Drosophila melanogaster: one gene and its partners. The protein of the gene in region 4 interacts with the protein of the main gene of each other region in a pairwise test. Each region holds a gene or a part of one and is shown on either strand. Other genes may lie near its edges.

Region 1 (7,596 bases), on a different chromosome or scaffold from region 4:
ATTTCATTACTCCAACTCCCCCAGGTTCGCCAATCCCCGCAGCTGCCCGAGAAGGCCTGCAACAGCTGTTGCGAATTCGTCCAAATGTGGTTCAACTTTCGCCAGATGTGCCTGAACTCGCAGGTCTACTGGGAAACAAGTTCCTCGGAGAGACCAGAGGCTCTTGCCCAGGCAAGCGATGCCGAGTATATGTTGTATCTGTACGAGAACCTACATCTGAAACTAGGCACAGAGAATCAGGAGAAGGAAGAGATCACCGCAATAGAGGAGGGGGATGAACAGCAGGAGGATCAGTCCCAGGAAGTTCTCGATTTTAACGGATTTATCATAAACGAATCGATTGAGGAGGACGAAGAGCCTAATACGGAAAGTCCTGAGCAGATTCTGATTTCCCACATGGACTCCTACGTTGATGATCAACAAATGGAAGAACTCATTGATGATAAGGGTGAGCTTGTCGAGGAATTATCCAATGCAAACACGTTTTATGAGGTTGAGTACGGGGACGAGGAACTTCTCATGTCAAGCGCTCCTTCGCCACATCCCAGCTTCAAAATGGACAAACAAAAGCCGGGAAGGCCTCGCAAACCGGACGCCGAACTGAAATTCAAACGCAAGGATATCAACGCCAAGGAAAGGGGGAACCAGCCAAAGTGCAAGGAAGAGGAGAAGTTCATGTGCATCCTGTGCGGAAACGTCTTTTACAAGAAATCTGTTTTCACGGCCCACATGATGACCCATTCAGAGTACAAGCCCCACCAATGCGAGTAAGTGATATTAAGGTTTAGGAAGGAACAAATTTATCCTACAAAAATGTTATTGCTTTCAGAATATGCAATAAATCTTTTCGACAAATGGGCGAATTGCGAGCACACATCCGTCGTCATACGGGCGACCGTCCATACAAGTGTATGTACTGCGACCGCCACTTCTACGATCGCAGCGAACGGGTCCGCCATGAACGGGTCCACACCAACACGCGTCCTTATGCCTGCCAGGAGTGCGGGAAAACTTTTACGCACACAGCCATCCTCAAAAATCACATCCTTTCGCACTCCGCCCAAAAGAATTACAAGTAAGGGAGAGTAATCCTTTCTAGTGATTTGCACTTTTTATTAATAATTTGAACTTTTCAGCTGTGGTATCTGTTGCAAGTCATTCACTCTGCTGCACCAGCTGAAAGCTCACCTGCAAACGCTAACCCACCGCAACAAAATGGAGCAAACCATTCCCAGCTCTCCGGAAATGTTAGAGAGCTAATATAGTAAATTAATTGAGGAACTAGGGTTATCTATTATAAGTAGTATAAAGCCACTTTTCCAGAATAGACCAGCTATTTTTATTAACTATTCTACCACGTCGCTGTACTCCTTAGCTATCAGACGGTGCGCAAGAGACTTCTCGTGCGCTGTAAGTTGGTGCTTAAGCCGAAATTCTTTTTTACACATAAGACACTTGTGAGACTTTTCAGACGAATGCAGGTAGTAGTGAGCGTTACGAGAGGAGGACAGAGAGAATGTTTTTCCACATATGTTGCAAGCATAGGGTCTTTCATTCGTGTGCAAACTGAAATGAAGAAATTCAACATTGGAACTTAAATGCTGTACACAATATATATAGTTTTTGTCCATTCTACCGTTCGTGCTTGCGATGAGTGCTGTTGTCGGCAAAACGGCGCGAACAGTAGCAACATTGGTAAGGTTTCTCGCCCGTGTGCGTCCGCATGTGTGTTTTCAGGTTGCAGGCGGCTCTGAATGTCTTTTGGCAAACCCTGAATCATACATTTTATATATGAAATATTATGTTAAGATATATCACGGATACTTACTCGCACTGGTGGTCCTTTTCCTTGCGGTGCACCTGCGAGTGTGCATTTAGCTGAGATAAGCAGCGGTATGTATTGCTGCAGATCTTGCATCTGTACTTGTCCGGCTCGCAGGCCACTCCTAGATCTATCACGTAGTCGGCACTTGGCTCTAGATTATGGTAATCCTCGCTTGTCTCTTGAATACTGTCCGTAGCAGCGCTGCTTTCTTGCGAATACGTTTCGGAGTAATTTTGATCGGAGATCTCCCTGTCCAAATCCATATCACTGATGGTATAGTCCTCCTGGTGTATGTCTTTCTCGTTTTCCGCATTCACGTTGAGATCGAACACGAAATCGCTTGAAAATTTATTTATGGGTAAGATTTCATCATCTTTGGTCGTTTCCAATGCATTCTCTTGAGTCTTAAAGTTAATAGGATTCTCTTCGATGAGTCTCCCCGAAATGTTCTGCTTCCTGGCGCGTTTTTTCTGTTCAAGCTGGTCCTTATCCTCCAGCGTCTCAAATGCCGATGCGGAGGACAGAGTTTGACGAACGAGGCTTCTCAGGTGCGCGTCGGATTGTTTGCACGCGCTAAGAAATCTGTCCACCTCCTCCAGTTGCATCAAGCAGACTGTGCAAATTTGATCCGGCAGTCCATCATCCGGTTTCACCTAGGAGAGAGGATTTGTAACTGGTAAACTGGAAGCCAAACAGAAATCGAGTACTCACAGATGTGCCGGCATACGAGATCAACAGCTTGTGGGCATTGGACTCGAAGAGCGACTGCAGCGTGGATTGCGTTCCTTTTTTGCGGCAAGTGCGGCACATGCTCCATTTAATGCTGATTTCCATCGTTATTTCCGCAGGAAGTCCCTCTTTCGCGTCAAATGCCGATTCAAATGCCAGAGCAGTGAATTAAAAGTAAAAGGGTTGTCAGGTACGCGGAATTAGTAACAGTTTTCAACTATCATTCCAAATTTTTTTGCATTTAGTTCTAAAACTGTATTTTTATTGCGTGACTCAAGCTTAAATATTTAATAGGGCCCACCTGTTAGTTTAAAAAAAAAAATTAAGATTTAATTATTATCAATTATTCAATCGATATGCCGATAGCAAGTTCGATAGCCATTTATCGTTTTGCGTACATGACAACCCTGGGAAAAGTTCCAAGACGCTTGTTTATTTCAGAATTGCAAGCATACGTACGTCCAGGACGTGCAAGATAATGCCCGAGTACATGTTGTGCCGAATCTGCTTGACAGAGGACATCAACTCGGAGGCGATGGCGCCCCTGTTCGATGACAACGACGCCCAGTGCCGGGAGCTGGTGCGCAAGATTGAAGAAGTGGGCAGCATAAAGGTACATGTGGATGCAAATGTAAAATCCTGCGACTTAACCCACTCTGTGCTTTCAGCTGGTGCCGCTGCAGAACATCCCCAGTATGTTGTGCTACAGCTGCGTGGAGCGACTGACCAGTGCCCACAAGTTCCGGGAGCTTTGCCAGGAGAGCGAGCGCACATTTGCCACCAATGTAGTCAAGGTACGTATAGAGTTGATGGGCCACATATAAACATCCCACTTGACCCGGTACCATGTCAGGCCGAGATGAAGTCGGAGCCAACGGACGAGGTGCCGCACGTAGTGGCTGACAACATTGAGTACATCTACGAATCGGCCAACGACTTCATCGACGGTGTCGAGGATGACATCGGAATGGAGAACATCATGGAGGAGCCCCTGGAGGATGGTGTCGGGGAAACGTCGCAGGCCTACGAGACTAGCACTGTAGTGGACGACCTGGACGAGGATGACTTGCTGGTGCCGAATAGCACCGATAGCGACTACCAGCCCATCGAGCGCTGCCGCAAAGCTAAGGTGCGTAAAACGCGGATGACTAAACGTGGACGTGGCCGACCTCGCGGTGCTAGCTCCGGACACCCACGCAGTTTTAGCGAGGAGCGTCCGCCTGTTCAAGCTAGCTTCAAATCATCTCCCGAAGTATCCTCCACGAACATTATGTGCGAAATCTGCGGCAATATCTACTCCAAGCGAGCCGCTCTCAACATTCATATGCGTCGTCATATGGCCGAGAAACCATTTAAATGCGAGTGAGTATCTGAAATTATCATCTGAACCATTTTATATTATGTAAATCTTATTCCGCTTACAGAATATGCAGCAAATCCTTCGCGGGTCCATCCGAGCTAAATCGCCATATCCGCGTTCACACGGGCGAGAAACCATTCTTGTGTAAATATTGCAACCGCTCGTTTGCGGATCGCAGCTCCAATATTCGTCATGAAAGGTGAAGATGCAATTCCTCATAGTAATCTTCATATAAACTATACTTGTTCCTTTTGCAGAACACACACAAACGAGCGACCTTTCACTTGCTCCACATGCGGCAAGGCATTCTCCTACTCTAACGTGCTAAAAAACCATATGCTCACCCACACGGGCGAGAAGCCTTTTCTGTAGGTCCATTGACTGCTTTAATCATGTATAACCCTAAATTCCCTTTAATTTTTCAGCTGTCGAGTCTGCAATAAGACCTTTTCCCGCAAGCACCAGTTGGATCAGCATTTGGGCACCATGACCCACCAACAGACTGTAATACACCACAAAAACGAACGGACGGGGCGCTATTAGTCGAAAACAATGCAATACAATTTCTGTTAGATAATTCATTAATGTACATTTAATTATATATAAAAATTGTAAAATAAAAAAGAGTACAAATGGTCAGACCGGATGTGTAAAATAATCGGATTTGATTTATTACTATTTGGTTAAAGAACTTGTTCAAAAACACAAATATTTTTTGTAATGTTTTTTATTACGTCCATATATTCGAGAAAAAAATTGGAACACGATTACAATCTTTGATTTTGTGCGTTTATTTGGTAGTTTTAACATCATTTTGGCCATTAAATGAGTGTGCGTTTTTTATTGTTTCTTTTCTTTGTGCTCTGTCGAAGACTTTGTTACCGTTTGTGGAAGCTACAACATGGAATAATAATCGAATGGCACAGGATTAATTAAATCTTCTTTTTTTGGACAAGTAAATATGTTTTGTTTTTTTAGGTTTATAACTTGTAACGTTTTACATCAAAATCTAAAAACGTTTGGAAGTCGGGAGGGATGCGGCTCTTCTTCTATTCCTTAGGGAAACAAAAAGTAAAACCAAATATGCTAGATATTCGCATAAAATGGATTTATGCGAATACCTGTACTTAAATGTACGTCTACCTTGTTAAAGAAAAGGACGCGGAATTTTAGAATTCTTACCGATAGCTAATTAGTGTAATGGCTAGATAGGCAGCTTCATTGTTCAATGGCTAGCTCCGTGAGTTTCTCTTCTTTGCGTTTATGAATATTGCTGGACAGGTGGGTCATCAAATGGGAGATTCGTTTGAAGTGCTTCTGACATACGTAGCAGCTGTAAAATCAAAGTGTGTTGAAACGTGTAATACAAATAATGTGCAGAGTTGGCAGAAATCGAAATGCCCACTAGTGATTCCGCGCATCCACATGGATCATCTTGTGCTTCCTGAGACATCCGGAGCTTACAAAACTCTTTTTGCACGTGTCGCACTCGTAGCGGCGTTCGTTCCGATGGCGGCGATGGTGCTCCTGGCGAGCGCCTGAAGAGGAGAACCGACGTGGACAGTAGACGCACACGTATGGCTGCTCGCCCGTGTGGATACGCGTATGGCTAGTCAGTTCCTTTCGAGTTGCAAAGCTCCTTTCACAATTCCTGAGGAGAAAAATCGTATCTTAGGTGCACTAGCCCAAAGGAGGTTAAGGATAATTTACAAAAAAACACAGTGGAAATTCTTGATGCCTGTGTGCCGGAGCGTGTGCTCTTGAAAGTTTGACTTATTGTTAATGATCCTTCCGCAATCAGGGCATACATATGGACCAGTACCTCCTCCAATTGACTTTTGATGGTTCAAACTAGTCGGTGCTGAGACCTTTTCAGCACTTGGCATTGGAAGATCTTTGACTTCAGGACATAGAATGGACTCGTCCAACTCACTCTCAATTTGGTTATCATCGATGTCTTCGTATATTATTGGATCTGTGGAGCAATCCTTGCTGTCGCACTCAATCCTTTCCAGATTCTGTTTCTCGGCAATGATGCAGCGCTGGCGGAACTTAATGGCTGCCTGCAGATTGTCCAGGCAAGTCGTGCACATTTGGCCGGATATTTCTTTCTTGCAGCTTAGCTGGAAAGTATAAATAGCAAATTAAGTGCCATGATTAAGGAATATTTTTAGACATATTACCTCCACCCCAGTAATGGAGTGAATTTGACGAACTAGATGACCGTTTCCTGGACCAAAAAGGTCTATTGGGGCATCTGATCTAGAGCAAATGCGGCAATTCAGAATTCGCATCTCGACTTTGATTTGTTTTTGAATAATTGTTTACTGTTTACGTTTCGAGCAGCTTATGCGAAATGTGTCGTTAAGCTATTTGCATGGTCACTCTAACTTTTGCACGCATAAACGCTGTTTAGAGTTTTTGCACAGGGATTAGTACCTTATGAAGTAACATAAATACAAATATGTTTTATAATCTCATTTAATAAGAGTACCATAATGGTTTACTGCACTTTTTAAATCATTTAAGTCACACAATGGCATTGCCGCACTTATCGATTTTGTCGATAATAAAACCAGCTGTTGCATCACAATATATATACATACATATGTGTAGTGGATGCGTTTACAAAACAATTGGTTGTTTATATTCGAATTAAACTGAAGTTGGGCTAAACTTCGGTTGATTTTCAACTAACATTATGGCGCTCCAGTGCCGGACCTGCGGCAGCATCATCTACAATAAAATGCCCAAGAATCTCTTTCATATTGAGAACGAGAAGATGCTGCAAGACATAAATCTTGTCACTGGCACAACAGTATGTAAGAAAAATGGTTTCCATTTGATTTGTGCAGCATTTTCTGTGATTGCAGCTCCACAACGATCCAGAGCTGCCCAGCAGCATATGCGCCTGCTGCACGCTTGACTTGAACCAAGCGATTTTGTTCCGGGAGCGGTGCATCCTAACGCAGAAGCAGCTCGTCCATCGTCGTAGATCTCCCGAAGCGAAGGAACCGGCTGAAGATGTTGAGGAGATGGCATCACCGCCGGATTGTCTGAACGATCCATTCGGGGAAGTCGATGAATACATTGTGGAATCCCCAGAAGAAGTTTTGGATCATGATAGTGATGCTCATCATGATCTGGATGAGGATAATTATATTGATTCTGTTGAAGATGTTGATGCGCTTCAAGATATGGCTGAAGTAGCCGAAGAGGATTCTCAAGATGTCGAATCTCTGATCTCAAGTGTACAGAAAGAACTTGAGAGCATTTGCAACGACGACAGCAACTCGGATAACAACGATTACATGGAGCCCCAAAACGGTTCCTATTTCAATGAAACTATAAACGAATATGAAGTATCATCGAACCCAAACACACCGCTGCCCGAATCGAAGAGTGCAGCAGGTCGGTCAACGAAGCCAGCGACCACAAAACCCAAGCGGAAAAAACAGTACGTTACGTGGAAAAATATGACCGAGGAGCAGATCATAGAGCGTAAGCGACTGCAGCGTAAACGCGAGTGTGTTTGCGAACAGTGCGGCCGGCAATTCACCGACCAAAGCAATTTCAAGCTTCACATGCTGCGGCACACGGGCAATAAGAACTTCGCCTGCCAGCAGTGTGGCAAGCGGTTCTACACCGACCATCTCATGACGCTGCACCAACGAATCATTCA
Region 2 (5,743 bases), on a different chromosome or scaffold from region 4:
TTGGATTATCACTCGACCTTCCTGGGTGTCAATTTCCACCTGGCCGACCCCATCCAGCGCCGAACGGAGGGCACCGGCATAGGATTCGTCACCTCTTCGCATCTGCACTGCAAATTCGATCTGCACATTAACATGGAAGCAAGTTTCCTGACCCGAATAACATATACTTACCTTAATGGAGCTCATTTTTATGGTCAAAGTGCCGACTAACAATGATAAACAAACTTTGGTATCGATGGCCGTCGATAGGTTCAGACAAATCGCGCCTTCTGTCATCGAAGAACGATAGGTTCACACGGAACGAAAGTTTAAGGCGTTTGTAAACCACTTATCCAATAAATTATAACGTTGAACTGATATTACTAGTTACGTATTAGAACACAGATGTAATATTTTTATCGTAGAACGTTTTACATTTACAAAACCAAAGTTACTAGCTTCGGTTTTGAACTTTTGCATAAATTGCGTGCTTTTTGATGAAGAAAATGAATTCTGGTATTTCTATTTAAGTCACTCCATATTTCCAAAATGACTATATTAATAATATTTGTGATGTTTGAAATTTATATAGATTACAACTATATTTTAAGTGAATAGATTAAAGCTTAATTTAATAGGGCTAAGTACCTTGGATATAATCATTGGTTTTCTGTTTAGTTTGACCAACAATTTTATAATCTTAAGCTGACTTTGTCCAACTCTTCTGGACCGATTCAAAACGCTAACCCCGAACTAGCTTAGATGCTAACTTATTTAATTTCCGTGCTAATTTTCAGACCTGTAGCTCCATTCACTTCATATTACGTTTTATAATTTTGGCTTAACTTTTCTTTATGGCCGCCGACAGTTTTAATCAATGGCCATAAAGAGTATTTTTAAGCCAAATGATGCTAATTTTTTGGAATTGATAGCGCTAATTTTTGTCTACAAAAACCGCAAGCGACAGATGCTGGCTTATTGAGGCCCAAAAAAAAAACGTGCAACCAATATGAATGAAGCTTTTCCATGCGCGCCACTTTATTGCAGCCAATTGCGCCTTGACTTTCATTGTGCAAAATAAATTAATTTCACTTGGACCCCGTTATTGATAGCAATTTAAAAACAATTGAGAAATATTTAATATTGCCTTCAATTGAAGAACTGTAAAAGGAAGCACTACAACAAAGAATTATGATAAAACCGTTCAATTCCCAAAAATTTGGCGAGTCGGCACATGGCTTTGTCAATTAAGGCCTTTCTTAGCACGTCGATCTAGGGATAGAGATGAATGATATCGGTGGATAACAATTAGTCGCTATTAGAGTACCGTTACTAGACCTTAAGTTCAACACTAGGAATGTAAGAAATTTAGTTTCTTTCCCAATGGTTATGTGGCTATTCACATTAGTAATATTATTTAATGTTTGTATTAACTTATATATAAGTTGAGTTAGTTCCGCAGATCCGTAATAATTTTTACAAGTCTGAGATGGTCCACCCTAACGACAGATCGACGCCATACGCCCTGAGCCACTCTGAAGAGAAGAACGCCCACACAAAAAGGCAATGTTCTCTTTGGGGCAGCGACTAATGGCAACAGCTGTTCTTGTTGATAAATAGCATAAAGATTTTTGTCGCCTTGTTTTGTGAGAGAGCAACAAATGCAAGTCAGCCTCTGAAACAATCACCTGGAAGGATACGTGTGTCGGGAATGTAGATAGATAAGTTGGTCTGGATAGTGCGTGCCACGGAAAATTAGCCTTGCCTTTGTTTCACTTGCATTCCACAAAGACGCACGCACACACACACGTGCACAGAATGACCCTTACAGTGGGGCTTTGGTATTGGTATTTGTATTTGCGGGTCGAACGCCACGCTCTTTTGGAGCGAGAGTGAGAGAGCGAAGAGAGAGAGAAACATAACGGGCTAGTGTATTTATTTTAATATTAGCTTTGTGACGTTCGCTCACCAAATCAGTATTTTTCGTACCATCGGCGTTAAAACACATGTTCAGCGATTTAGTGCGGGAGTGTAAACTAATCTGAGTAACAACAACAGCATCGTCGGCAAAGCAACAACAACGGCAGCAGAAAATTTTAACACGTTGACGCTTTTTCTAGTGTTTATAGCGAGCGGAAAAGCTTACTAAGCGCGTAACAAGCGAGACCCCGAAATCTTTTTTCATCTCGGTCTTTTCGCCTTTGCGTCTTTGAGTGTGCGTGCCAAAATTCAAATACGTCATCGACGCGCGCAGCCTTAAATCGAAAAGGAATGAAATAATTGATATACACAAATGCCAGCGAAAGATTGAATTCAATTGCAGGAGCAACAAATAGCCAAACAAATTGAGGAAAACAATTCCTCCAACCGCACAGCGACAACTTCAATTAATTAACTTGTTATTGTGTAGTAGCAGTCCGCTTCTTGCCATTCACCGCGAAACGCAGCCACACAAAAGAACGTGCAAAACAGCTGGGACTCGAACTGAGAGTAACGGAACGTCGAGCAACAAGTGCAGCAGCAGCAGCAGTAGCAGCGAAAACAGCAGCAACATCAGCATCATCAACAACAATACAAAGCCCTTTCAATTGCTGGAGAGAGGGGTGGTCCATGTGTCTATGTGCACTCCAATGAATACGAAGACAACGGCCACTTTTGTTGTTGCCACAATCAATTAGAGTGATAGCAGGCGGCAGAGGAAAAGCAGCGCGGCAGCAGCATCCGCATCAATTTGCTGTCAGCATCTGAATCTTCGGGTCGGCATTATTCCGAAAAGTGTGAATGTGAGCGTAGTTGCTCCCGTTCCGCCTCCGTAATCGCAAGTGCTTGTTGTTATTGTCGCACTCGTCTGCGATCCGCGAACCGCGATCTTTGCTTGTGTTTGTAACGGCGACGTCGTCTTGATTGGAACGCTCTGTATTTCTTGACTTTTTTCGTGCTTTTTTGATTCCGAAACTGGTGTATCTGTAGTTTCCCGCTAACGGCGAAAATTCACACAACTCATTGATATTTTAACCTCGTGTCCGCGTTGGCTGCCGCTCGACCAAGGTTCTGCCGCACAAAATGCTCGTCTCTTTGGGCTTTTCGAAGCCTCGCTTCGTCGGATTAAAAGTGCTCCTCTAGCACGCTCGCAAGTTAGTCCGGCCACAAAAATAAGAAAACCCAAAACTTTAAAATATAACCATAACCCATTGAATTGGCAGAAAAAGTTTTCACCACCCACCGAATCGTACCGTTATCGTTATCGCGAAACAGAATCCACAGATAAAAAACGTTCCGTTTCACTTCGTCGTAAATACAGTGCTAAATCGTGTGAAACAAACTAAAGTCGCTGCAAAAACAGCCTAATTTGTCTAATGAAAGCCGAGAGCATTTGTGAATAATTAGCCCCGAAAAAAAACCTGTTCGCAGTCACCGCAAAAATTAGGCCCCAATAAAAAGTGACGATCCAAGAAACTGGCATCTCGCCCGCTTGATATATAACACCCCAACACAAACGTAAAGTTCGCGATAACACCTATACAAAATAAAAAAAAGAGAGAAACCAAATCCAGCGAATCAACTTCAGAGTAAAGTCGCAAAGTCAGTGCAAGCCAGAGCAAAATCGTCGAGCAAACCGAGTAGTTGTCCAAACGTTAAGTCGCAAAAAGTCTAGGAAACCACCCCTACAATCGCTATCAGATTTCTAGTGCTAATACGATCGAAATAATGTCAGCCTTCTGACAGTGTATAACAAATAAAGTTACATAATCACCGTTGCAAATCCAATTTTTTTTTGGAAGCGAACCCCCAAAAGTGCCCAATTGGAATGTCGAATATCTGACAGTGACCAAACAAACAGCGAAATCAGTCGAAACCAAACTCAAGAGAGAACCCCAACTGCAGAAGGAAAGCGAGCGAAGTTGTTATCAGTGAAAATATACACACATATATATTCGATTTCAGCGTAAACAACTACTATATAATGTCCGTCGCCATCTGACAGTGGTCCAAACAACCAGCACAAAGAGCTAGAAGTCGCCGCAGCCAGTGACAAGTTTCACCACAGCGAGTGAGACCTGTACCGTAGAACCAACACAAGACACTTAAGCTTGCAACACGGGCTAACCAATTCAGCGATAAATGGAGAAATCTGAAATACGACTGCAACGCATGTCTAATGAATATCAGTCGCAATCGAGCTATATGTACCTCCGGACCAAGATGCTGTTAAAAATCGAGAATACCCTACTTCGAAGCCATCGTCAGCGCGAGACCACCGGTATCAAGAAACTATACAATTCGTTTTTCGTATTGTTTTAATTTGCCCCCCCGGCCAGTCCCGAACCCTCTCAAAAGGCCCCAAGAACACAAAACGCACAAAAGCAAAATTTACAATTCCACTCAACTGTGAGCCAAGTTAGAAAAAGTTACAAGAAAGCAAGTTATACATGTTATACCTACGTTAAATAAATATATGAATAAACTAGAGATATTATTTGGTTGTTAGTAGAACTCACGTCAAGTGCATATGGTTAGCCCTCGTATATCCAAAGTGCTGTGCGACGAACGAACGATTAAGTAAATAAGTGTGTCATATGAGCATTTTGAACAAGCCAAGCCAAAATGTTAGCCTAAGCAAGTAATCAGTAAGTGTTGGTCGATCAATATACGGTTTCTACTTCGAATATTACTATTACCATCAATCACTTTTGTTGCATTTCGCATTGCACCAAAAAACTTGAGCAAAATTGCTGGCGAAATTACTCCGGTCGGAAGTGGTGTTTCGTAATACGGGTGAGAGCGATCACGGTCAAATAATTCAGGAGGATATCAAACAACAAACAACAATAAGCTTGGACTAATAGAGACCAGAACGCGATTCTAACGCCGTTAACTCACGTACCGAATGGCGCTTTCGTTTCTATCCCAAAACTCCGGTCTGTTGGATTTACAAAGCATATTCGATCCACAATATACTCATCATCAACAACAACAACAACAACTACTACATTTGAGCCACCACCCTCAACATCACATTCAACAACACCAAAATCAACAACTACAACAACAAGCGGAGCAAATTCAACAACATCAACAAGAACGCACCCTTTCAACAAAGTTCGATTTGAACCTGTTCAACGAACTCGACCAAATGGAATTCAACAATTTAAATCGCAGTCAATATCAGAATAATAATAATAACAACAGTATCAGCAATAATCAAAACTCCAACAACAATACCAACACCACTAACGGTATCAGTGAAAATCTAAATCAGGTAAGTTTTTTGGGGAAAAATCAGATATATGTATGGTTAAACATTTATAGGCTTATAAATAATTGCTACTGATTTTCATCAGGTAGAATTGGCATCACAAATATAAATCGATTATCTATAAGCCAATATAATACCATTATATATATAATTTCTTTTCCTCAGTGTAAAGCATTTCTCTACGTTATAGCTAGACCATCGAGAAAATTTGAAATACCAGAGAATCTAAACTAATTACAGCTAGCAATATTTGTACAATTGTTTTTAAACCATAGTTTGTTTCGTAAATCGAAACAGCCGCCTTTAAAGCTCCCTACAATTGAGTGACTACATTTTTCAAGCGAAATCCGTTTGCCTTGAGGCACATATAAATATATAGTTCAATTGCTAATTATACTATATGGCGGGGTGTATCATATAACGAATTTGTGGTAGACAGATAGTGGGAAAAACAACAGAACAGCGCTTAATAAATAGTTGCAAATGTTACGTCAACAGTCCGATTCA
Region 3 (4,967 bases), on a different chromosome or scaffold from region 4:
CTGCCAGGCGGACGATTTCCGCGAGCTGCTGCTATCCAGTTCGTTTATGACGCCCATCGAGAGCAAGAATTCCAGCAATCCAAATCGCGTTCGCTGTTTCAGTAGCACTTCGCTGGCGGAGAGTGCACTGCCGGAGAAGTGGAAGCTGCTTCAGATAGTCTGCACACAGCCCTTCAATCGTCATGTGCCATACGGGCTCTCATTCGTCAAGGTGCATGTAGTGGCTGCTGCGGCGCCTAAGGTCAAATCCCTAGTGCCGCAGGGTGTTATGCAATTCGGGACCTTTAAGCTGCGCGAGGAGTCGCCGGACTCGGAAACGGACAATCAAGTGAACAGATTTCACAGCTGGAAGAAGCAGACGCAGCACAAGTCGCCCGCGATCAGTGCGACCTCCACAGCAGCGGCCATTCGGGACGCCGGCTCCACGGCCCTGCGAAGGCTGAGCGCTGGCAAGGTTTCTAGCCTGGCTGCATCGCCCAAAACCTCGACGTCGCCATCACCAGTTCTCAATGCTCTGCGATCGGTTTCTCCGACGCCATTGGATGCCAAGCCCCTGGATCGCAATCGAGCTTCACTCTTGTTCGGCGACGATGATGAGGACGTGAAGGACGCTGAGGTCAATGCAAAGAAACAACGGCTGAGCAAGCATCTGGAGGCGGACAAGGATCGACGGCGATTGGAGCAGGAAAAGGAGAGGGAGAGCAGAAAGAAAAAGTCAAGCAGGCACTCCTTGGATAAGTCAATCAGCAAAGAAGACAAACCACCGGCAAAGGAGCACAATTCGTCCTCCAGAGAAAAATCCACAGCCAAAGAAGAGAAAGAGCAATTACGAAAAGAGGAAAGATCGCATTCGAAGGAGGAGAAGTCCAGGAGGAAGGAGAAATCTAAGCATGATCACAGATCTTCGGACACCTCGAATTCCAAGGAAAGTTCGCGCCCAACTGCGCAAAAGCGACATTCATCTCCCACCGCAGTCGCAGTAACGCCCGCCAAAAAGCAAAAGATCGTGGACACAGCGATTCAATACCGTCCCCTTAATCAGTTACTCAAGGGTGTGGTCCTGGTCATCAGTGGCATACAGGCAAGGAAATTCTTTTGATTGCATCACAACTCGATTTAAACCCATCCCTTCTGCTTTCAGAATCCCGATCGTGCAGACTTGCGTTCGAAAGCGGTCGCCTTGGGAGCCAAGTATAAGGCTGATTGGGGATCAGGATGTACCCATCTGATGTAAGTGAAGTCCAGATTGATCTAGTATGCGCCCGCTAATTCTTAAAATGAAACCCAAACAGATGCGCATTCAAAAACACACCGAAATACAATCAAGTGAAGGGCAAGGGCAAGATTGTGACACGCAGTTGGATCGAGAAATGTTATGAGCTGAAGAAGTACCTGCCATGGCGACGTTACGCCCTGGATACCAATGACATTGGCCAGCCGGAGAGCGATGAGGAGCTTTGCGATGAGGCGACGAGGCCACGGCGCGATTCCAGCAAGGATGATGTGGCAATGCTAGAGGATAGCAAGCTAACAGCTCTAGCGGATCAGAATGATGTGGAAATGAATCCAGATGCCTTATCGGGCATTGATACGGAAGATGAACTGCAGCGCGTGGCTGAGGGTAAACTCTCTGTTGTTCTGCCCTGTTTTTTTTTAGATATTTTATTGTTTGCTTTTAGAAAACAAAACGAAGAAAGCCAAACTAAGGACTACAGTAAAGACGAAATCGCAAGATATATACGAAGTTAGTACCGATGAAGAGGATTATCTGGAGCTAAAGAAGAAACAAATCGATTAGGTGCCATTTCTAACCTCATCTCATATTTTGTATACGACTTTATTACTTAAATTGCTTGTAATGTGCAAGTATCATATTTTTGTACTTTGTTAATCGAATATGCTCGTTATCAAAAATTCGACAAATTCAAAATAAGTGATTAGTTTGGACCATTTTGAAAAAAGAGCCCAAGGAATAAATATTGATATTATAATAGATCTATCGCATGTTCATTTAAAAAAAACTATCAAATAAACCACCTCTGGGCTAATGCGATGGTCCATCTCTAGCAGAAATTCACAAAAAATGTACTAACGCATAGCACGGTACTACAAGGACTTTCCACCCATAGGCATGCTATGGTTAAGCGAAGAAAACCCGTTTACGCCCAAAACTATGCATTAAAAAGACTAAAAAGATAGCGAAAGTGCACAAGTGGAAAACCAATTTGCAGCCCCCGAAAAGAACAAAAAAAAAAACAGGTGGAAAAGCAACAGCTGTCCGCTTTTGACAGCTGCGCTCTCCGCGCTCTCCCACTCGTTGGCGAGAGCTAACGGTGAAAACTCTCTCACTCGCCTGCAGTCGTGTATTTGCTGTCGAGCGAGTAGAGAGCTTTTTTTTTGGGAATTTAACAATCCAGCGCAACTATTGTTTATTTATGGTAAATATCTATGGCTACCACTTGCGTTTTCGCAATGCGATTCACCCAAGCATCCTGGCCAACGCAGTTCCATCCGGATTTGTGCCACTGCAGAGATTCCACTCCAACCTTGCTGAAGCGAAAACGAGTGGTGAAAAGTTGTGGAATTTGGAAAAATCGATACGATTGAGCCATAATTAAAAGTATGCTGCTAACTTGCACTTCACCCCCCCTTTTTTTTTTTAGAGCGTGCCAGTCGTTGAAAAATTGAGTTATTAACAACAAAAATTTTGGGTAAGAAAGTCGTGCTGAAAACGCTGAGAAAAAGTGCAATCCAAATGATTTCGAAGCTATTCAGTGAGAAGTGGAACATTGGGCAGCCTGGGAGTATGCATCAGTTTTTGCACATACCGAATATCCTTCTAATTTTTCTCATTGGTAACTCAAATGTTCCTCAATTCTCTGATGATATATTTTTTTTTATTATCGAAATTCATTTGGAATCATCTTTTTCTCCGTAGAGCAGAATGCCCTGCCTTCTAACGCTTGCGTTCCATTCGCAGATCTAGACCAGAGAACTAAGTAACCAAAGGCCAGCATGGGTAACGAGACCTCCCTGCCCATGGACATGTGTTCCAACTTCGATGCGGACGAGATCCGTAGGCTGGGCAAGCGATTCCGCAAGCTGGATCTGGACAACTCGGGTGCGCTGAGCATAGATGAGTTCATGTCGCTGCCGGAATTGCAGCAGAATCCGCTGGTGCAGCGGGTTATCGATATCTTCGATGCGGATGGAAACGGGGAGGTGGACTTCAAGGAGTTTATCCAGGGAGTGTCGCAGTTTAGCGTGCGCGGCGATAAGCTGTCCAAGCTGCGATTCGCCTTCCGCATCTATGATATGGACAATGATGGCTACATCTCGAACGGGGAACTCTTCCAGGTGCTCAAGATGATGGTGGGCAACAATCTGAAGGACACACAGCTGCAGCAGATCGTGGACAAGACCATTTGCTTTGCGGACAAGGACGAGGATGGCAAGATATCGTTCGATGAATTCTGCTCGGTGGTGGGCAATACCGATATTCACAAGAAAATGGTTGTCGATGTTTAGATTGAGCCACATAATGAGTACTATATATATACAATTGTAGATATGATACAATATGTATAGCCGATTTTCCGTAATGAGTGTGTGTGTGTGTGTGTGTACCTTCACTTCCCTTGAAACATGTTCAGCTTTATAATAAACGGTCTGTCTGTGAGTCTGTGAGGGCGTTTGAGGCGTGCCAAAAACGAAGCAGTTTACTCAATTTATTGATACCTATCGCATATATATAGAGTACACTTTGTTCCAAACGATCCAAACCGATCGATCTCTATCATCCACAGAATGCAATGAATTGTGTCTTATACTCATACTTGAAACCACCGGCAACGGACCACTCAACCAAAGAACTCATCTATACCCCTCCTTCCATTCCTCCTTCCATTCGAAATGACATACTTTCGAGGTTCGAACAGCTCTACGATTGGGATTGTTCGCATCATCTTAAACTAGTTTGTACTATATCCTAAACTCTACGTTCAATTCAAGCCTAACACTTAAGTTCATCTCTCGACTAAATGTTGTGTATAAGATATGTAAAAAAATCAAAAAAAAAAAAAAAAAAAAAATTGACAAAAGAAAACTACAACAACAACTACAATTAAACACTGTTTATCGCAAAGCTAAACTCAAAACCCCCAACAAGCGTTTACTTGGTGATTTTTCGTTGTACTACCACTATCTGTTGATGGGAGGTGGACGAATGTGGGCTGGGTTCTTTGGCCGGCGGGTTCAGATGCCCTCAGAGTTCCACGGTCCGCGAGTCCTTGGACGAAGAACACGTGCGTGTCGTTCAGCTCGGCGCCCGAAATTCCGGATTCCCGAAAGCCGACCCCGTAGAAGATGGTCACCACAAAATGTGGGAAGGAAGCCACCGGCCGAAAGTAACCGAAAACTTTTTGGCCGTTGGCAACGATTAAATGTTTTGTAGGTCACCGATTTTCCAACTACACGTGTGTGTGTGTGTGACGTCCCTCATGTGACAAGACACACCAACATACATGTTACGTATACGCCACGTTGTTTAGAACAAAGCAGTGGAAGAAGTTCATCCATGTTGAGATTAAAATTACCTTAGTATAGAGCAGAAATGTCACAAATGAGTGGGAAAAGTTTATCCATTGATATAAAACATCTATCTACTAATGAAACATAAATATTACGTATACGCCACGTTGTTCAGTACAAATTTGCGAATGCGGAGCCTTCCTGTGGATTTAAAATAGAACATAAATATCGCAAAGCATTAAGAGATGATAATCCATGTTGATATAAAACACTTAAAAAAATGTTACGTATACGCCATGTTGTTCAATACAAATCAGTTGGAGAAGATCATCCCTGCTGCCGCAGAATACTATTTTATATATTTCCCACATTTTTGGTACCGAACTCAACAAGAATTTCTCGCAGTGTGGACAACAGGAAGCCAGCCAACTAGCTGT
Region 4 (4,842 bases):
TAAAGATTCCAATACCGTTGATATTAATAGCTTGGATCCCGATAAGGCTTACATTCAAATTACTTATGTTGAACCCTACTTTGAAACATATGAAATGCGTCATCGTGAGACATACTTTGAGCGGAATTTCAATATAAGTATGATATGAATTAAACAGATAATTTAAATCGAAATTTAAAATTATAATTTTAACATTTTTGGTTTATGCAGAACGTTTTATATATGCCACGCCTTTTACTAAAAATGGAAAGGCACATGGCGAACTAAATGAGCAGTGTAAACGGAAAACGATTTTGACCACGGCGAATCACTTTCCATACGTAAAAACTCGCATTATGGTAATTAGCCGACAGCAAATAGTCCTGGAACCGATTGAAGTGGCAATTGAAGTAAGTTATGTTGTAAAATCCCAAAAGTTAATAAAATTAAACGTTATTGCCTAGGATATTCAAAAAAAAACATTGGAATTGGCAGCTGCCACGAATCAAGAGCCAGCAGACCCCAAAATATTGCAAATGGTACTGCAGGGATGTATTGGAACCACTGTTAACCAAGGACCGATGGAAATGGCGAGTGTGTTCCTTTCCAATTTATCCGACGGAACAACTGTACCGACAAAACACCAAAACAAACTTCGGTTGTGCTTTCGCGAGTTTTCAAAGCGTTGTGCTGATGCTTTGAAAAAGAATCGCAATCTAATACTTTCAGATCAAAAAGATTACCAACGAGAACTGGAACGTAACAACGATCGGTTCATTGAACGATTGACTCCCTTTATTACTCTTACATCAGTTCAGAATCATGGCGTTGTCAAGTAAGTTTTTATTGTTATACAGTGAAAAGGAAAGTTACATTGTGTATACATATGTATTAAAATTCTCATGTCTTTCTTATTTTGTTCCTCAACGGAGTGCTCTAAATAATAGACATAAGATGCTTAATTAGATATTTATAGAATCCAGCCTAATATAGATATTACTTTACTATATGACTATATTAAAAACCACCAGTGCAAAAAGTAAACATTAACTTATATAATTTTTTATTTCTTTTCTAAATACATCCAATAGGGCCAACGCGTACAACAACAAAAGTACTCCTTTGAAATGGTAACTTCTTGCACACGACTTAGTCTGCAATCAAATTATCATACTTTTGGTCTTTCATGTCTAGCGTATCGGATTATTTTAAGTAAATCTTACATTTTAAATTATCGATCTCTATAATTGCTAATGTAATAGCATAACTTTTTTATGCATCTAATAGATTAAGCAAAATATTAAAAAGCGAAAAAAATAAAGTTTACACTTTTTTACTTTTACGAAAATAGTTAAAGCAACATGTTTCAAGCTACAAGGAGGTGCAGTTAAAGTGAGTGAAACAAATCGTATCCTACAGCAACAAAATTTAATTGTCGATTACCAGAAAAGGGAAGTATTCGAAAATGATAATCCTCGAATTTCGCATGGGTCGTTAACGGTTGTTAGATTGACTAAGAGTGAGCTCCGTGAGGCAATGGTATCGAACGCGACCTATCGGTATTCGCGAAACTTTCGAGTATACTATCGATGTTTTTATTTATCGATAGTGTCGGCTTTAATTACACGTAAACTCAGATAGTTTGCCGGTTAAAAAGACAATAAATAAATAAAAATGAGAATCAAGTATTGTTGGCTCGCAACGCTAGTATTCATAGCCGCTGCTTCGGCGTCATATTCTCCCGAAAAGCCTGTTCCGCCGCCCTGCAGGGCATGTACCCAGCTTGTTAGCTCTTTCAGGGCAGGACTCGAAAGGACAAAACGCGGACACGCGGGCGGGGACACGGCATGGGAGGAGGAAAAGTTGCGTTCGTACAAGAACAGCGAGGTACGGCTAGTGGAGATCCAGGAGAAGCTATGTTCGGAAGGAGAAGTGATAAACAAGGATCACTGCCACAACCTGGCTAACGAGCACGAGGCGCTTCTCGAGGACTGGTTTATCCACAAACAAACAGAGAGTCCCGACCTGCAGTCATGGCTTTGCATCGATCAGCTAACAGTCTGCTGTCCGCTGAACACCTACGGACCAGACTGCCTGACCTGCACCGAGTGCAATGGAAATGGTAAGTAATGATAACCAAGTATTACAGGCCACAACTTACATAAGTGTGTCAACTTAAGATTGCCGTCTTCGTTAATTTTACCCACATGACAAATTTCAGGAAAATGCAAAGGAGACGGAACTAGAAAGGGTAACGGAAAGTGCAAATGTGATCCCGGCTATGCGGGTCCAAACTGCAACGAATGTGGACCGGAGCACTACGAATCATTCCGTGACGAAAAGAAATTGCTGTGTACACAGTGCCATGCGGCCTGTGGGGAAGGAGGCTGCACGGGAGGTGGTCCCAAGAGCTGCCGCAAGTGTAAGAAGGGCTGGAGCATGGACTCGGAGGCAGGATGTGTCGACATTAATGAGTGCTTGGAGCAACAGCGTCCAAACCCTTGCCGACCACAGCAGTTCTGCGTGAACAATGAGGGCTCCTTTAGTTGCCTGGAGTGTGATCGATCTTGCGATGGATGCGATGGTGATGGCCCTGACATGTGCAGGAAGTGTGCGGATGGCTATGAGTTGAAGGAAGGAAAGTGTCATGGTAAGTAAGACAGAAATTTAATAAATTTGCTTTTAAGCAACGCATTGTCCACTGTATGTATTGCGCCTCCGATCATTTAAGATATTTCTGCGGAGCAACGCAGCAACTACGTAAGCTTTACGCGAATGCTCACCTACTTCGGAATGTGCGTGGCCACCTGTGTCATCTTCCAGAGCTCTACTCATATTGCCTGGGGTTGCATTGTTGGGGCGGCAGTGGCAGGGTACATTGCTGTTTCCGAGTACTGGATCAACTCGGAGGCAGGAGGCGGCCACCAACCCGAAATAGATACAAAACAGTTGGAGGAACTAATAATGAAGTCTTTATAAGTCAAAAGACATGTCAACATTGCTTTCCTTTTATGATATACACGAGCGTTTTGAAAAGCATAATCTTTTAACATTCCCCCAAGACATCTAACGATTTTTGTACTTCGTTTGCAGTCCGCAGTGATTCAAACTCCACGGTGCTCGGTGAAGAGTCCACGCACGAAGAATTGTAAAAGTAACCAAAAACGCACACCTTTTGTAGCCAATTTTACTTTAATAGGTAATATTATCAATTGATATGTAATTATAAATTAGAATTTCAAAAAGCAGGGCATGACCATATTTTTTTACACGTACCACACTTAGATATTTATTTGGTTTCAAAAATGTATAAAATCACAAATACAGCATATATTCGTATGAATAAATATTTTTAACTAAAATTACTGACGTAGTGTGCTTTTGTGACGTCCAAATTTTCATTTTGAAGACCATCTGTCGTGTGCAATGTAATACTGCTTTAAGCGGATTAATAAAGGAGCTACAGTGATACGAATGAATCATTGCATTTGGATCTTACAAAATGAAAATTTGTAAACAAAAAATATACACAAGATAACAACCATCACCGCGCTATATAAATAAAAACTCTAAAAATATTAACTAGAGGAACTTAAGCATTACATACGATCGTTCCCTTTGGCTTCTAAAGTTATCCAACACAGTCCGAAACGGATACAGAGCTCCCCCCACAACAGCCATTTAATCCCTACGACCGTGTCAAATGAATTTGACTTGTGCTGGCCGCTAGTCCTATCTCTTCGTCCGATTCATCTGAATCCAATGGACTCACTCGAATGGCTTGGTACCACTTGTTAGTCAGGTCGGCCATCTGTGACTTGCACTCGTGCAATTCCTGACTATTGAACCGACGTGTAAAAAACGGAATAAAGTACTTGCGATCCATGCGCCCAAAACGATCGCGCGCTTGAGTAAAGGTGACGTCCTCTTCCTCGGTGAGTTCAGACAAGTGTTCAGAGTCGATTGCCTGGCCCCATTCGCGAGTTTTCGATAGGGAAATAGATTTTGAACGCTTCCTACCGCTGCCGTTGCGTCGACCTCCCTCCTCAGCGGCATTCCTTCCAGAGCCGCGTGCCCGCCGTTTTTTTCCTGGCTTAAGGTACTTTAGCAGAGGCATTGTGGAGCCCCCCAGCACTAGCGTGGTAAATAGCACAATGATTAATCTGAAATTTTAATTCTTCAATGACTGAGCATTATTTTACAATCCGGAATATGCTTACGTTGTTGTTATGATGACGTGTCGTTTCTCCTGGCTGTCAAGATTCAAGTGCAAAGATAGCGCGTAGGAAATCGCTCCGCGTAGGCCAGAAAACCACATAATGAACTGCATCTTGTTATTGATCTTATGCTCGCGAAATTTGTTGACCAAGAACGCGAGCGGAAAAATATTGCAGGCGCGGCCAATTAAGCAAAGCACAATGGCCCATATAACAAAAGATAGTTCAACTTGGTGTTTAAAAGAAAAGATTGCTAATCCCAGATAAGCAAACACGCAGGTCTCAGCAATGAAAGCTAGTGTCCTCATCGTCTGCTGCATGGTAATTTGGGTAACCTACGATTAAAAAAGTTTTAATAATATATAAAATAGGGATATCATATGACTTACAGTGGATAGGTTGAAATGCGTGTAGTGGGACATGACGATTCCGCAAAATAGTATAGCCATAATACCTATAGTTGAAAAAAATGTTTAGCTTTTAGAGTCATAGTCAACAACATTGATATACCGCTTAAGTGTATTCCCTCTGCCAAGACGTAAGGTGCGTAAGTAAACATTAGCATCATCGCGAACTCGAGGGATGGATGCTTTCGTAAATCGATGTGCTTCAGAAGAAGAGCCGAAATTAGTGCAAATATGACTCC

What was found.
Region 1: the proteins of Creld (region 4) and Zaf1 interact in a two-hybrid assay, tested with the Drosophila melanogaster proteins (one large-scale study listed by BioGRID).
Region 2: the proteins of Creld (region 4) and gem interact in a two-hybrid assay, tested with the Drosophila melanogaster proteins (one large-scale study listed by BioGRID).
Region 3: the proteins of Creld (region 4) and CanB interact in a two-hybrid assay, tested with the Drosophila melanogaster proteins (one large-scale study listed by BioGRID).

Annotation. Positions count from the first base shown.
Region 1 is NT_033777.3:11,620,379-11,627,974, forward strand, and holds Zaf1 (ZAD and architectural function 1), read right to left. Parts: upstream 5,267-7,596; 5' UTR 5,248-5,266; coding exon of another isoform or gene 5,133-5,247; 5' UTR 5,097-5,132; exon of another isoform or gene 4,891-5,096; intron 4,809-4,890; exon of another isoform or gene 4,673-4,808; intron 4,571-4,672; exon of another isoform or gene 4,458-4,570; coding exon of another isoform or gene 4,340-4,457; 5' UTR 4,283-4,339; coding exon of another isoform or gene 4,172-4,282; 5' UTR 4,114-4,171; coding exon of another isoform or gene 3,979-4,113; 5' UTR 3,977-3,978; intron 3,925-3,976; 5' UTR 3,917-3,924; coding exon of another isoform or gene 3,408-3,916; 5' UTR 3,349-3,407; coding exon of another isoform or gene 3,223-3,348; 5' UTR 3,168-3,222; coding exon of another isoform or gene 3,033-3,167; 5' UTR 3,014-3,032; exon of another isoform or gene 2,961-3,013; intron 2,856-2,960; 5' UTR 2,660-2,855; coding exon 2,537-2,659; intron 2,479-2,536; coding exon 1,829-2,478; intron 1,772-1,828; coding exon 1,637-1,771; intron 1,567-1,636; coding exon 1,347-1,566; 3' UTR 1,261-1,346; coding exon of another isoform or gene 1,137-1,260; 3' UTR 1,088-1,136; downstream 1-1,087. Other genes in the region: CG14710 (uncharacterized protein), read left to right, coding at 25-767, 830-1,075, 1,137-1,260; CG14711 (uncharacterized protein), read left to right, coding at 3,033-3,167, 3,223-3,348, 3,408-3,916, 3,979-4,113, 4,172-4,282, 4,340-4,457; CG6813 (uncharacterized protein), read right to left, coding at 5,133-5,247, 5,320-5,565, 5,625-6,037, 6,098-6,208; CG18764 (uncharacterized protein), read left to right, coding at 6,616-6,732, 6,788-7,596.
Region 2 is NT_033778.4:10,122,339-10,128,081, forward strand, and holds the start of gem (gemini), read left to right. Parts: upstream 1-1,954; 5' UTR 1,955-4,101; coding exon of another isoform or gene 4,102-4,281; 5' UTR 4,282-4,867; coding exon 4,868-5,239; intron 5,240-5,743. Other genes in the region: Ccs (copper chaperone for superoxide dismutase), read right to left, coding at 1-120, 172-186; CG46319 (uncharacterized protein), read left to right, coding at 4,102-4,281.
Region 3 is NC_004354.4:5,330,390-5,335,356, forward strand, and holds CanB (calcineurin B), read left to right. Parts: upstream 1-2,109; 5' UTR 2,110-2,129; intron 2,130-2,352; exon of another isoform or gene 2,353-2,438; intron 2,439-2,663; 5' UTR 2,664-2,711; intron 2,712-2,980; 5' UTR 2,981-3,015; coding exon 3,016-3,528; 3' UTR 3,529-4,060; downstream 4,061-4,967. Other genes in the region: XRCC1, read left to right, coding at 1-1,081, 1,142-1,230, 1,293-1,621, 1,680-1,798. UniProt on the Drosophila melanogaster protein: Calcineurin is a calcium-binding and calmodulin-binding protein found in all cells from yeast to mammals, and a calcium-dependent, calmodulin-stimulated protein phosphatase.
Region 4 is NT_033779.5:100,806-105,647, forward strand, and holds Creld (cysteine rich with EGF like domains), read left to right. Parts: upstream 1-1,574; 5' UTR 1,575-1,653; coding exon 1,654-2,101; intron 2,102-2,200; coding exon 2,201-2,629; intron 2,630-2,710; coding exon 2,711-2,958; 3' UTR 2,959-3,072; coding exon of another isoform or gene 3,073-3,131; 3' UTR 3,132-3,337; downstream 3,338-4,842. Other genes in the region: Zir (Zizimin-related), read left to right, coding at 1-137, 211-389, 444-814, 1,071-1,113; Nhe1 (Na[+]/H[+] hydrogen exchanger 1), read right to left, coding at 3,668-4,142, 4,200-4,531, 4,586-4,650, 4,707-4,842.